2 linked regions of the Nothobranchius furzeri genome follow. The protein of the gene in region 1 interacts with the protein of each later gene in a pairwise test. Links are inferred from orthologs where the notes say so. Each region holds a gene or a part of one and is shown on either strand. Other genes may lie near its edges.

The links.
Region 2: the proteins of rab11a (region 1) and rab3il1 interact in a two-hybrid assay, tested with the Homo sapiens proteins (2 studies listed by BioGRID and IntAct). The two-hybrid records come from large-scale screens. The link is inferred for Nothobranchius furzeri from reciprocal best matches to the Homo sapiens genes RAB11A and RAB3IL1.

What each region holds. Positions count from the first base shown.
Region 1 is NC_091749.1:66,766,957-66,773,252, forward strand, and holds the start of rab11a (ras-related protein Rab-11A), read right to left. Parts: upstream 3,831-6,296; 5' UTR 3,706-3,830; coding exon 3,666-3,705; intron 189-3,665; coding exon 1-188. Other genes in the region: SH2 domain-containing protein 7, read right to left, coding at 4,988-5,659. UniProt on the Homo sapiens protein: The small GTPases Rab are key regulators of intracellular membrane trafficking, from the formation of transport vesicles to their fusion with membranes.
Region 2 is NC_091744.1:65,009,984-65,015,537, forward strand, and holds part of rab3il1 (guanine nucleotide exchange factor for Rab-3A), read right to left. Parts: intron 3,223-5,554; coding exon 3,039-3,222; intron 2,910-3,038; coding exon 2,814-2,909; intron 2,622-2,813; coding exon 2,544-2,621; intron 2,451-2,543; coding exon 2,214-2,450; intron 1-2,213. UniProt on the Homo sapiens protein: Guanine nucleotide exchange factor (GEF) which may activate RAB3A, a GTPase that regulates synaptic vesicle exocytosis. Promotes the exchange of GDP to GTP, converting inactive GDP-bound Rab proteins into their active GTP-bound form.

The sequences.
Region 1 (6,296 bases):
GATGGCCCGGTAACGTTCTTGTCCAGCTGTGTCCCAAATCTGAGCCTTCACCGTCTTGCCGTCCACCTGGATGCTACGCGTGGCGAACTCCACCCCGATGGTGCTCTTACTCTCCAGGTTGAACTCGTTACGAGTGAAGCGAGACAGCAGGTTACTCTTTCCTACACCCGAATCACCGATGAGGACCACTGAGGCAAAGCAGGACAAAGGAAACACATCAGACATCCTGAATCTAGAAAACCGCAGAAATAAAGATAAAAACAGTTTAAAGTCCAAGTAACAAGAATGAGGAGAAACTAATGGATGTCTATTTTATTTATGATGCAGGATTATTGGTGCTCCCTGACCCACTATCCTTAAAGAACCTTTAGAACAACATCAAGCATCCAGAACCCGGGAGCGGTTCTAGACCTTTCTGGCTCTGGTACAAAAGTTTCTATTATAGCCATTTATTTTAGGGGTGCACCAATCTATCGGCCCCAATCTCGGGTTCTTTTCAAGCCAATCATTGCTATAGAATAATTTTTGAACATGCGTGTGAAAACGGGTACAAAAGTTTTGTTTTCAAATTTTGAAAAATGAAAGTCTAAAGGAACAAATATGATTTTGTTGTTCAAACAGCAATGCTAAAGACGTTCATTTATGCTTGAAAGTAGGGATGCACCGATACGATACTGGTACCAATACCGATACCAGTATTGGTAAAAGTTAGCCGATACCAGGAACTGATACCAATGCAGTTGCTTGAAAATGGCTTCCCTGTAACTTGTCATTTCTGTTCACCTAATATTTTAGTTTTGTGATGATTTCCATTCATATATTTTACTTTTTATCTACTTCACAAACTTTTCCTGTTGAAAATCAAATCTGTATTCCAAATCATCGCATTTTTTTTGTTTGGTAGAAGTATCGGTATTGGTAATCGGGATCGGGGAGTACTCAGATCCAAGTATCGACATCGTATCGTTTTGGAAAAAAGTGGTATCATTGCATCCCTACTTGAGAGCATTACCTCATGTCCAGTTGAAAATGGTATTGTTTCATGAGTATTCATGTTGGTTTTCACAATAAAAGGAAATTGAAACATTGACATAATCTGCTTTTAGTTGAGACAAAAATCAGTATCAGCAAGTCTGTTTTTATTTTTTTCAAGATTGGTGAACAGTGATCAGCCAAAAACTGCAATTGGTGCACCCGTAATTTATTTATATTTTTTTATTTGTCTCTGGGCGTTTTTTACTCAATATTTTTTAAAGAGACAATTTGAAGTTTTTACCATAAATTTCAGGAAATATCCATCAAAATGTTGTTGAAAATGAATGAAATAATTCCCAGTTGTTGCTTTGTAACATATAACCATAAAAATCTGGTCTAAAATACATAGGAGCGGGATCGTTTTATCAGGATGTTAGGAGTCCCACCCCCTTGGCCCCGTCCACTGACAGGTGCCATGTTAAAGAGCAAGTCACCCCTACCAGAGTCTCACTCCACTCCCATTTCCTGTTTAAAAAATGCTGCTGCCTGGCAGACCGAAAGGGCAGAGCCGCTAACACACACACACACAGGCTCACATTGGCCGTGTTCAAGATGATCCAGTTCTGCGCAGATTCGATCACCGGTGATCGGCGCGCAGTGCATGCTGGTTAGATTTGTGTCTGACTTGACGCCGACTTGCTCTGATGTCATGCCTACGTAGGCAACGATAACCTCGTGAGATCAAGGCGGCCGCAGATTTTGGAGCAAGGCGCTGCAGTTGCTCTCCGCCGGTTGCAAAACCTAGGGCGTGACAGGAAACGCCTCGCTCTCACCTGATCTAAGATGACAACTATATAGGCCATAAAGAGAAATGTGATTTGTGTTTTTATTGTCACATTTCCTATGAGCACACTAAAACTCTACAGCTGCTAACCTTTACTTATTATTACTTCATATGCACATGTCAACATTACATGATATTGTCAGGATGTGTTTCAGTTGCTAACAAGCACCAGAACTTTAATTACAAATTAAACAAGTATGAATGAATGTGATATCTTTATCCATCATCACCTGCGAGCTACATGTAGGGAAATTTGATCATCTTAAGCCTGGTTCATGCTTCTCCGTCAGCTCCGCAAAGGACAGACACGCACGGATTGACGGAAGCGTTTTGCTCTCATACTTCTCCGTCTCCTGGAGAGTGTTGCAAAGCAATTCCCCAGCAGGACAACAGAGGACGTAGGCTGTTCTGTGGTATCCTGTCATGCATCCGGTCCAAGATGGTGTGTTTATATTATGTTTTTTTGTATATAAGAGACTTTTTAACAGACAAATTTGTCTCTCATTCTCCTCCACCTCTTCATGCGCTCGCCACCTCTAAACCCACGTTTCCTGTCATTTCCATCCACTAATAAAACGCTTGCTGCGCATCTTTTCACTCCTCCTGTCACTGGGGAATTAAACATTCATATTTTAGAGTTTTTTCGCGAGGTATTCTTCAAGCTGCTCCGTGTCTGCCACTAGTTATCCTCGGCTCTCTTTATGTTTTTGAGGGCGCAATGGCGGCGCTGTAGACAACAGCGGCGTCCTGACCAATCACAAGCTTGCGTTCTCCGTCTCGACTGACGGATGTTTAGAAAAGAGAGCTCGACTCCGTCCGTCCTCGCGGAGCTCTCTGACGTTGCGTGTCTCAGCACTGACGCAGATGGAGGAGCATGAATCAGGCATTAAACGCCGGCTTTCAGCCACTCCCCCTGCTGCATCCGTCTGCTTTCATCTGTTTTCCAAGCGAGGCGCTGCTCAACTCGAACAAGGCCAACAACATTGTGATCTCATAATGTACCAGCTGACATCATAGTGTACTTCTCAGCCAATAGCGATGGCAGATTTAAATTTGAATGCAGTGCAGAGTTTTTACCTGACAACATTGACAGTTTTAAGCAGAATATTTCAATTTTAACTAAGATGCACTAAAATAAATCGCTTGGGGGGGGGGTTGAAAAAGACAAATACAACCGTTTTACTTCTTATTCAGGAGTTATTTTAATGATACTTGATTATTTTATGTTCTCTTTGGTGATTCTGCTCCTTTCAGGATTTGGTGTTTTTATAAACTGATAAATGAAGTTAAAACTCTCGGGAAAACAGGAGGTTAGTGGAAGAAATGTGAGAATACGAAACCGGAAGCTCACGTGAGAGTGGAATATAAATAACCCACAGATGAACAACCTGATCAATAATCTGATATTAATAACCTGATCAATAAAGCAGTTAAGAGTTTTTCGTCCAGTTTCACCTCAGCTGGACCAGCCCGGTTCTGCCTCGGGCTCTGAATTTGCTGTTAAACGTCGTCTCGGGCCCGTTAACGGTGCTGCTGGCAGATCGGTCCGGATCGCATCAGGAGGATCTGATCATGTTAGGTCTAGGTGTGTCCCGCTGGCTGTCGGCAGGCTAACCCGAGCTAACCGCTATCCCGAACCAAGATGCGCTTTAGCACGAACAACAAGCACCGGATGAACAATTTCCTACCCGAACGAGTCAGACATGGTTCGTCGGGAGTTCGGAAAACCGATTCAACGCGCTGACTCACGTCAGAGAAGTTTGTTGAGACCCGAACACAAAAGGCTGACGGCGGTTCCGTTAGCTCCACCGCCTAGCCTGCCAAATAACAACAAACACCGCTTTACCTTTGAATAAATAGTCGTATTCATCATCTCTGGTGCCCATCGTCCCAACACTGGAGAGCGGGTCCAAAAATGATTTTGTTAAAACAGAAAAGACGAGATTTTACTGTCCGACGGGAATTAGATGGGAGATAGTTTCTTCTTCGCTGGAATCCTGACAGCGGAATGCAGCGGATACTCTGCCCCCCAGCGGCCACAGGACGGAGCGCAACCTGGAGGTGTGTGTACCGAAAATGCCAGCCGAGACATTTGCATGCATTGTTACGGGAACGCGCATATTGAGGAAGACATTAATTTGGAGGCCTTAAAACTCATAAATACATTATTTTTTCATTAAATGTAGAATACTGTATGCTCACCAAGTGTCAAATAAATAAAGTGATTTCAAACTTAAAAGTTATTTATTTTTAGGCATCAATACATTCATTAATAACAGTATAATTAGGCTATGAATAAAGTATAAAAATGATGCTAACCTGAGTGTTTATCTCTTCAGTTAGTTAAAGTGACCTGCACATCTCGCTGTAGCAGGGCAGCTGTGGCTACATTGTAGCTCACCATCACCAGCATGTGAATGTGTGTGTGCATGGGTGAATGGCTGGTTCGTTGTAAAGTGCCTTGGGGGGTTTTAGAATCCTAGAAGGCGCCACAGGCCATTTACCATTTTGCATAACTAAATCTCAACACTTCTAGGATGGAGGGGTTGAAGGGCTTCTGGGGCTAGTGTCCCATGTCCTTCAGTCCCAAAATAAACAATACAGATATTAAGCTCACTATAGTAGCCCAGCATAGCCTATACATGTGAACATGTAGGATAATGTCATTTGATCCACAAGAGTTTAATCTTCTAAGACATTGGTTCTCAATCCTGGTCTCCAAAGGGCGGTATCCATGTTTTCGTTGTTCCTCTATACTCTACATAATTCAGTGGTTGAATCACCTGTTCAGAAGCTCCTCAGGCTCCGTAAAAGCCTGTTAATCACCTGCTGATTACAACCAGGTGTGTTGAAGCAGGGAAACAACTAAATCATGCTGGCTATCGGGACCACCCCTGCTATAAGATAACAGGGAGGATTTTCTGGGCCTGCTGTAATTTGTGGTGGTCAGTATCCCCCTCTTTTCACCCCATAATTGATCATGCAGGTATGAATCTCACTCCAGGAGGCCTGTTTTTATTTTCATCTCTTAGAGATTCTGAATGAAGTCTCCTGACGTCAGGAGGAAGCCCCGAACTTGAGAAACTCCACAAGATATATTTATTTCTTTAAGAAGTTCCTCCATTTTATGTTCTGTAGAGACAAAATTATTTAAAAAAAAACGTCAGATTATTTATTTACTCTCTGTAATAAAAACCAGCACATGACGTTGCATCTTACATTTTTGCCCCAGGTGCTTTTGGGTTTCTTAGTCTTCATGTCCTCCAGAGACTCGTAGGTGTTGCTTTGGACTTCAGTGGCCTCTCCAGGGACCAGCTCATAGGTGTCTTCTGTCTGCGTAGTTGGTGCTGAACCCTTAGAAACCTCAGCGTACATGACACCCCGCCGCTGAGCTGCACTTTCTCCAGGTACCCTGGAGGGCTCGTACAGAGGGTTAGACCTCAGCTGGTCCTGGTTTCTGATCTGCTGCTCTGACATGAAACTTCTCAGATCTCCTTCGGGGGCGTGGAGGGAGTAGGTTTGACAGGTGACCCTTTTTGGAGAAGAAGGTGCTTGAAGGGAGAGGCTGCTTAACTGGTTGGAGTATGCCTCCTCCTCCTCCACTTTGGTGCCCAGGTAAGGCAGAGACTGGCTCCTGGTCTCCACCTGGGTCAGATCGGGACATTCCAATTCTAAAGGTCTAAACAAATCCCCATTGATCTTTTGAGTTGGGTTGGTTCTGAGTCTCTGAGCTTTGTTGGACTCAAACTGGGTTTCACTAGGATGTGGTGTCGTTTCAGGCAGAGATCCACTCAGGCTGAAGGCTGGAGGCATTCCCCTCTTTGGTACTGGAGGCAGAACCTGGAACACAACGTGGGGATTAGGGTCAGGTCAGAAACACAGGTATAGAAGATTTTTAAAAGGTATCTGATGTTTAGGTAAAGTGAGCCGTTTTCATGTTTGCTCTTTGCAGCGTACCAAATGGCCAAATATTTCATCTAAATGACCAGAAATGAACTTTTAACTTACAGACCAAACTTCTTCATACAGGTCTATCTGACACCGTGGTGCCGACATGAAGTCTATGTACGTCACGAGTCCTCATGGCTGCAGAGGATGCAGGACTTCTTATCTATCCTCTTTGAATTCAATTCAAGTTTATTTATATAGCGCCAATCACGACAAGAGTTGAATGAAGTTTATCTTCCCTGGCTCCAATGACTACATAAGTTTACAAGTTTTCATAATCATATTTTGTTGAATGGACAATATGTTTAAATCCAAAGTGTTTTAATAACATGTCTAATAATGAATGATGGGAAACATGGACGCAGAGCTCAGATTTGATTCTCAAGTAAATGGAATCGTGAGATCTCGCTATTTTCATCTCTGGCAGATAATGAAGATTAAGCCATTTCTGTCACGTAGCCATTTGGAAACTGTAATCCATGCCTTTGTTACCTGCAGGCTGGATTATTGCAACTCGCTATATGCGGGG
Region 2 (5,554 bases), on another chromosome or scaffold:
CTATTAAAGCTACGGATAGCAAATGCTACGGGCTATGACTGAGCGTGAACGTGCATGAAGCAGCCTGCTCGACCCGAGCATCTCTCTTTTTCTGTGATTTTACAGAAAAACAGGCAATCACAGCAAAAATGCCAGGGCTCATTCTACAGGACCAGGGCATTGCAGGAGAATGTATGAAGAAGAAATTCATTATTTCTATACATGTTTTGACTGTCAAACTTCCATAATGTCCCTTTAAGTTACTGCAGCATTTTAACAACGTGGAGAGATTTTATCCTACAAGAGGGATCAGTAACAACCTTCAGGCACACTGTAGATAAGGAAAGTCTGAGAAGAAAAGTCCTTTTAACAAATCAGTTCGAAGTTTTCCAATCTGAGACTTCAGGCTTGGACAGTTTGCCCTTGAATACAGTAATCTGTATCTAGAGGTGTCATTTCTCCTAAATGTTCTGCTCTAGAACAAAGATGTGTGAAGCAGAACTTAAAGTTTATCAAATAACGCTGATGTGCCTCAGAACAGGGTGGACCTTGTTAAAATAGCAGCACCAGAATTAGTTATGCTTTGTTTCCCACTCGGAGCTAAAAGTCATGCTTCATCTATCCACCCTAAAAAACAATCACACCGATCTACTCAGACCCACGTCAGGTTACTTTGCTTTACTCATATTACAGCATATTTGTAGGATAGCTCAGTCTGGAATGTTACTGGTGGACTTAATGGATTCTGACATCAGTCTCAGTGCTGCAGGTGCAGTGGACGTTGATGGAAAAAGCCATTCAAAATAGCTACATTTAGGAGGAAAAAAGAAGCAATTTTAGGGTCAAACACTTTCTTCTGGCTCCCCCCAGAGTCACAGAATCTGATGGCCACAGAAGATGGTCAAACACCGGACACAACAAATACCGTCAAACATAAACGTATCTGTCCTTTTTGACCCATGGTTAGCACCTTTTCTGCCATGATTCCAAACGTAACGCACCTTCCCAACCGTTGAACTATTTAGTATGCTAGTCTGGTGTTTTATGGTGAAAATCAAGGCAGTTTTTAGCTTTCTTGATTTATTCTCAACTTTGAAATCATAGACACTCACATGGTTGATCCACCCCTTAACCCTTTATCTCTACAAATAACTCAAGCCTGGATGAGCTTCTGCTGTGTGGTGAAGCTGCTAATGCTAACAGTTAGTTTAAACTAGCTGAGAAGTCCGCTGCTGATTCACGGATATTAAAACAACAACAGCGACTGCAGGAGACAGGTGGAGGAGACTATTTTCATGTTCAGCCTGCATGACAAACTCAGAGTGACTGATTATAATCAGAAAAAATGTTTGCAGTCAACCACACCTTTAAATATTTTCATTTTTTACTAAACAAAATTGATTGTTTGCCATCAGTAAGGAGCATTTCAAGCTATGTGACCAAAAATGCTCCAGAAAAACATCATCCACTCTTTTTTTTAACCACCTTCATGGTGTTAATCTGATGTTTGGTAGGTTTAGGGCTTCAGCTTCTCTATGTTCTCTGGGATTAGACACTTTGATGTCAAATTGGGACTTTCAACTGATAGATCAGTATTCTGTAGCCTTGTTTTTTTTTATTCTCAACTGCTGTCTCTGTTTTTGTTGTAGTCATACGATCACACAACTCTGCTCTTTACTGGTTTGTTATTTTTTGTTTTAGTGGCCAGTTTTGTAGCCAGAGCTGTGACTGAAATATGCTGCTGCTGATAACTGAGACACACAGACTCTACAGTGGATGTTCTCATCCACTATTCAAAATTAAACACTGTTCTTTTCAAAATAAGAGTTGTTTTGCTGAAGAACCAGATGTTACTGGGACTACCAAATGATCAAACAAAAAAATTAAAGTGTGCTCATCATACAGCCACAGCATGTTTCAGAGCTGAATGTTACCAGTGAGTTTGGTTAACACAGGCTGATGAACTGTTATTACATGTAAAATATTTATGAGACATGGCTGAAAGAGGAGTAACTACCTGTTTACTTGAGCTCACGCCAAAGAGGGTCAAACTTCATAGTGACAGACTGGCATGGTAACAGGCAGAAAATCAGAGAGAGCAGAGCGGGACCAGTGGGCTGAGAGTCATCAGAAACAGGAAGTCAGAGAGAAGTTAGCGGGGACACAAAGAGAAATCAGCTCAGCGCAAAGCGGGAAAAGGAAGAAGTCAGAAGAAGTGTTTGGATCCACGTTACCTCCCGCTCCTCTTTACCCGCAGACTGAATAGAAACAGAGGAAGGTTCTGGTTTTCCAGATGAGCTCTGAAAGGCTCTGCTGATGCTCTTGTTGCGGACGTGGCCCCCGCCACATTTATGCGCTCCCCGGGTGCCTGAAGACTGCAGCTGTGGGTGCAGCTGGCGGTTAGGTGAGGAAGGCGTGGACGTCAACACCAGAATTTTGAGTGCGGTCACCTCGGCTTGCAGAACGTCAATCTAGCAACCAAACAAAGGAGGGCTACAGTTAGACGCAGAGGGAAACTGGGAAACCGATTTGACTGGAATAAAGAAAATTAATGGAAAACACACCTTCCCTTGAGCTTCCTTCAGCTGTTTCTCTGCTCCTGCTTGTTTCACATTAGCTTCACGCACCATTTTATGAGCTTCCTGGTAAAAAAAATATAAAACAAACATTAAAGATCTAATAAACGTAACACCTAGAATCCATCTTTACGATCATGGTTATGTAACTACATCCCCAAAGGCCCGGCTAAATCCCAGAGCCTTTGTGAACAGAGCTTCTACGTCCTCCTCTGAAGGACCCAGAGGAATCAACTCAGCTGTGTGATTACCGCTGACCTCAAACAGGCTGGCAGTCAGCTCCTCCAGCTCCTGCTCCAGCTGATTCCTGACTTGAGACAGACGTTCACACTCCTTATCTTTGAGTTTCAGTTCCTATGATGCGAAGGAGGAAACGACAAACACGTTTTATAAAAGGAAGAACTTCTGCACAGTCAGCTTTTCTCCACTTTCACAGCGTGACGGTCTCTCTGTGCGTACAACAATGAAGTAGGTTACTGATACCTTCTTCGCCGCATCCAGCTGTTCCCTCAGGATCTCTGACCCCTTTTCTCTTATTTCTTTTTCTTTAATCTCCAACGAGGAACTGCGGAGCCGGCACAGATCGCCATGAGGTCTGTCTGAGGCGGGCCCAACCTGGCGTCCTCCCTCCACTCTGGACTCTGGCTCTGGCTCCAGATCTACCAACCTTTACAAGAGCACAAAATATTTTCTAAATCCTTGTATGTATGAATGTATGTATGTATGTATATATATATATATATATATATATATATATATATATATATATATATATATATATATATATATATATCTTTCACTTGTTATGATTTTCTATAACTGAACATTTTCAGGAAATAAAATGGTTTGAAAAAATAAATAAAATACATTTAAACATAATCAAACTTAAAAAATGATAAGACCAAGAAAAGAAGAAGAGAATATCATTTCTATAGCCTCTCAAGATAAAATCACGAGGCGCTTCACAAAAACAAAAAATGTAAAAATATAAAAAAGAATTTAGAAAATGGTTAAAATATATTTAAAATGAGCAAAAAATAGACAACTGTGATTTGAAAAAATGTTAAGATTCCTGACGGAAGGTTTGGTGTGAGAAGCAAGCTGACCAAGAGAGAGTCTGACTTTGGGAACCAGCTTGTCTGGGGCACAGATGAGTTTCTCAGTCTTATCTTCATTCAGCTGAAGAAAGCTCCCAGCCATCCAAGTTTTAATAGAGTCTAAGCAGGTGTGTAACAGCTGGAGCTTAGACATCTCATGGGGCTTAAAGGAGGTGTACAGTTGGATATGTCATCTGCATAAAGATGGTAGGAGATTATTTTGAAGGAGCTCAGGATGTGCTGAAGAGGGAGCAGATAGAGGAGGAAGAGCAGAGGCCCCAGCACAGAACCTTGTGGGACACCATGAGTAAGAGAGGTGGTGGAGGACCTAAACTTGGAGATGGCCACAGAAAAGGAGCACTCAAATATGCACAGCATTGTAGATCTACATTTAGCCTGTCTACAGAAGCTGCCTTTTACTGAATTAAGTAAGTTTAGTAAGGTGTGAATTAATCTATAAAGTGTTGATTATGGCACAGAAATTATATTCCTAATCTGTTGTCATTTAAGAAAAACACTAGATGTTTACACGAGTCTAACTAGGAGTCTCATGACTTGCAGCTTGTGACAGAAGACATAATAGTCTCATAAAGGTCCCATTGAGTCTCCAGTGAGACAACACCAGGACCCGGTTAAGACTCATCCATGCATCATATTTATTCTGTTTACTCTGCTCTACAGTGTGATCTGAAAGGCTTTTGTTCATTAGCATACACTAATAAACCAGTGTTAACTAATGAGTTACAAACTAATGCAGGCCCTGGCAGAGACCGCAAACCACTGTTTGGTTCGACAACATCAATTTCCAAAGAGAATAATCATGTAAGACTGTGTGAGTTCCTGTTCTTAGTTGTCCTCAGTATTTTCCGCAGACCAAGCCTTTAACCTTCCTTACATGTTATTATTTCTTACCCTGACAGAGCCCCGGACAGCAGATGAAGCTCCCCCGTGCCTCAGCGTCTCCTCTCCACTTTAATTTGACTCCAAGTTATTTTTTAATGAATAAAAGTCGCACAAAGCGAGCAAACGTCAGCAGGTTTCAGTGAAACTAATCCCAGCTGTTTTAAATCACAGCGGAGGAATGCGGACGCTGACGTAAACAACACAAAGAGCAGCAGCGGCGGCCGCAAAAAGTTACATAAAAACTAATAAAAGCGCACTTTGGCTCAACACCTCACGGGGAAACCGTCCATTCTCTCTGCATTATTATTTCTAGGAAGCAAAAAGACGAGTTTCTTCTTTCCTTCTTGCCCTCCTCTCCTAAGAGTCACGTGACTCCTCCTCCACTCCCACGTGCCAGGCCTACCCATCCCGTCCTCCCGGCCACGGTGACAATAGCAGCTCCTCTGGCAAAAGCCTTACAGAACCAGCAGTCCCAGAGTCTATAATCCAATCTAAAGATGTGCAGAAGGCAGCAGCTATGGCCAATTTAGTCATAAGCTAGAGCGGGAGGACAAATCAAGAGCTAAGACCAGATCAACGGAAATGTTAAAGCTGCAGACAGTGGCTCATCAGTTTTACCATGGTAACCACAGACTGCAAAAACTATGCATCAGACTGTTACCATGTGAAAACCAAAAGAAGTACTGCAATACTTTCTGAACCATCAACACTGTTTAAAGGGATACGTTGCAACTTTTTCATATTTTTAAACCATTTTCTCTGTGCTAAAATGGGTTAAGGAAATGTCACTTAGGCCTAGTCCATACGTAGCCGGGTTTTTTTTTAAACGAATATCCGCCCCTCCAAAAACTTGCATCCACACCACCGCGTTTAAAAAAAAAAAACTCTGTCCACACGTACCCGGATAAATACGTTGTTAAGGACATGCCAGACCTGTAGGCGGCAGTACTTCCCCCGTTCTTAACCTCATCCTTCGTCTGTGGTCTTCTGCAAGGAGCA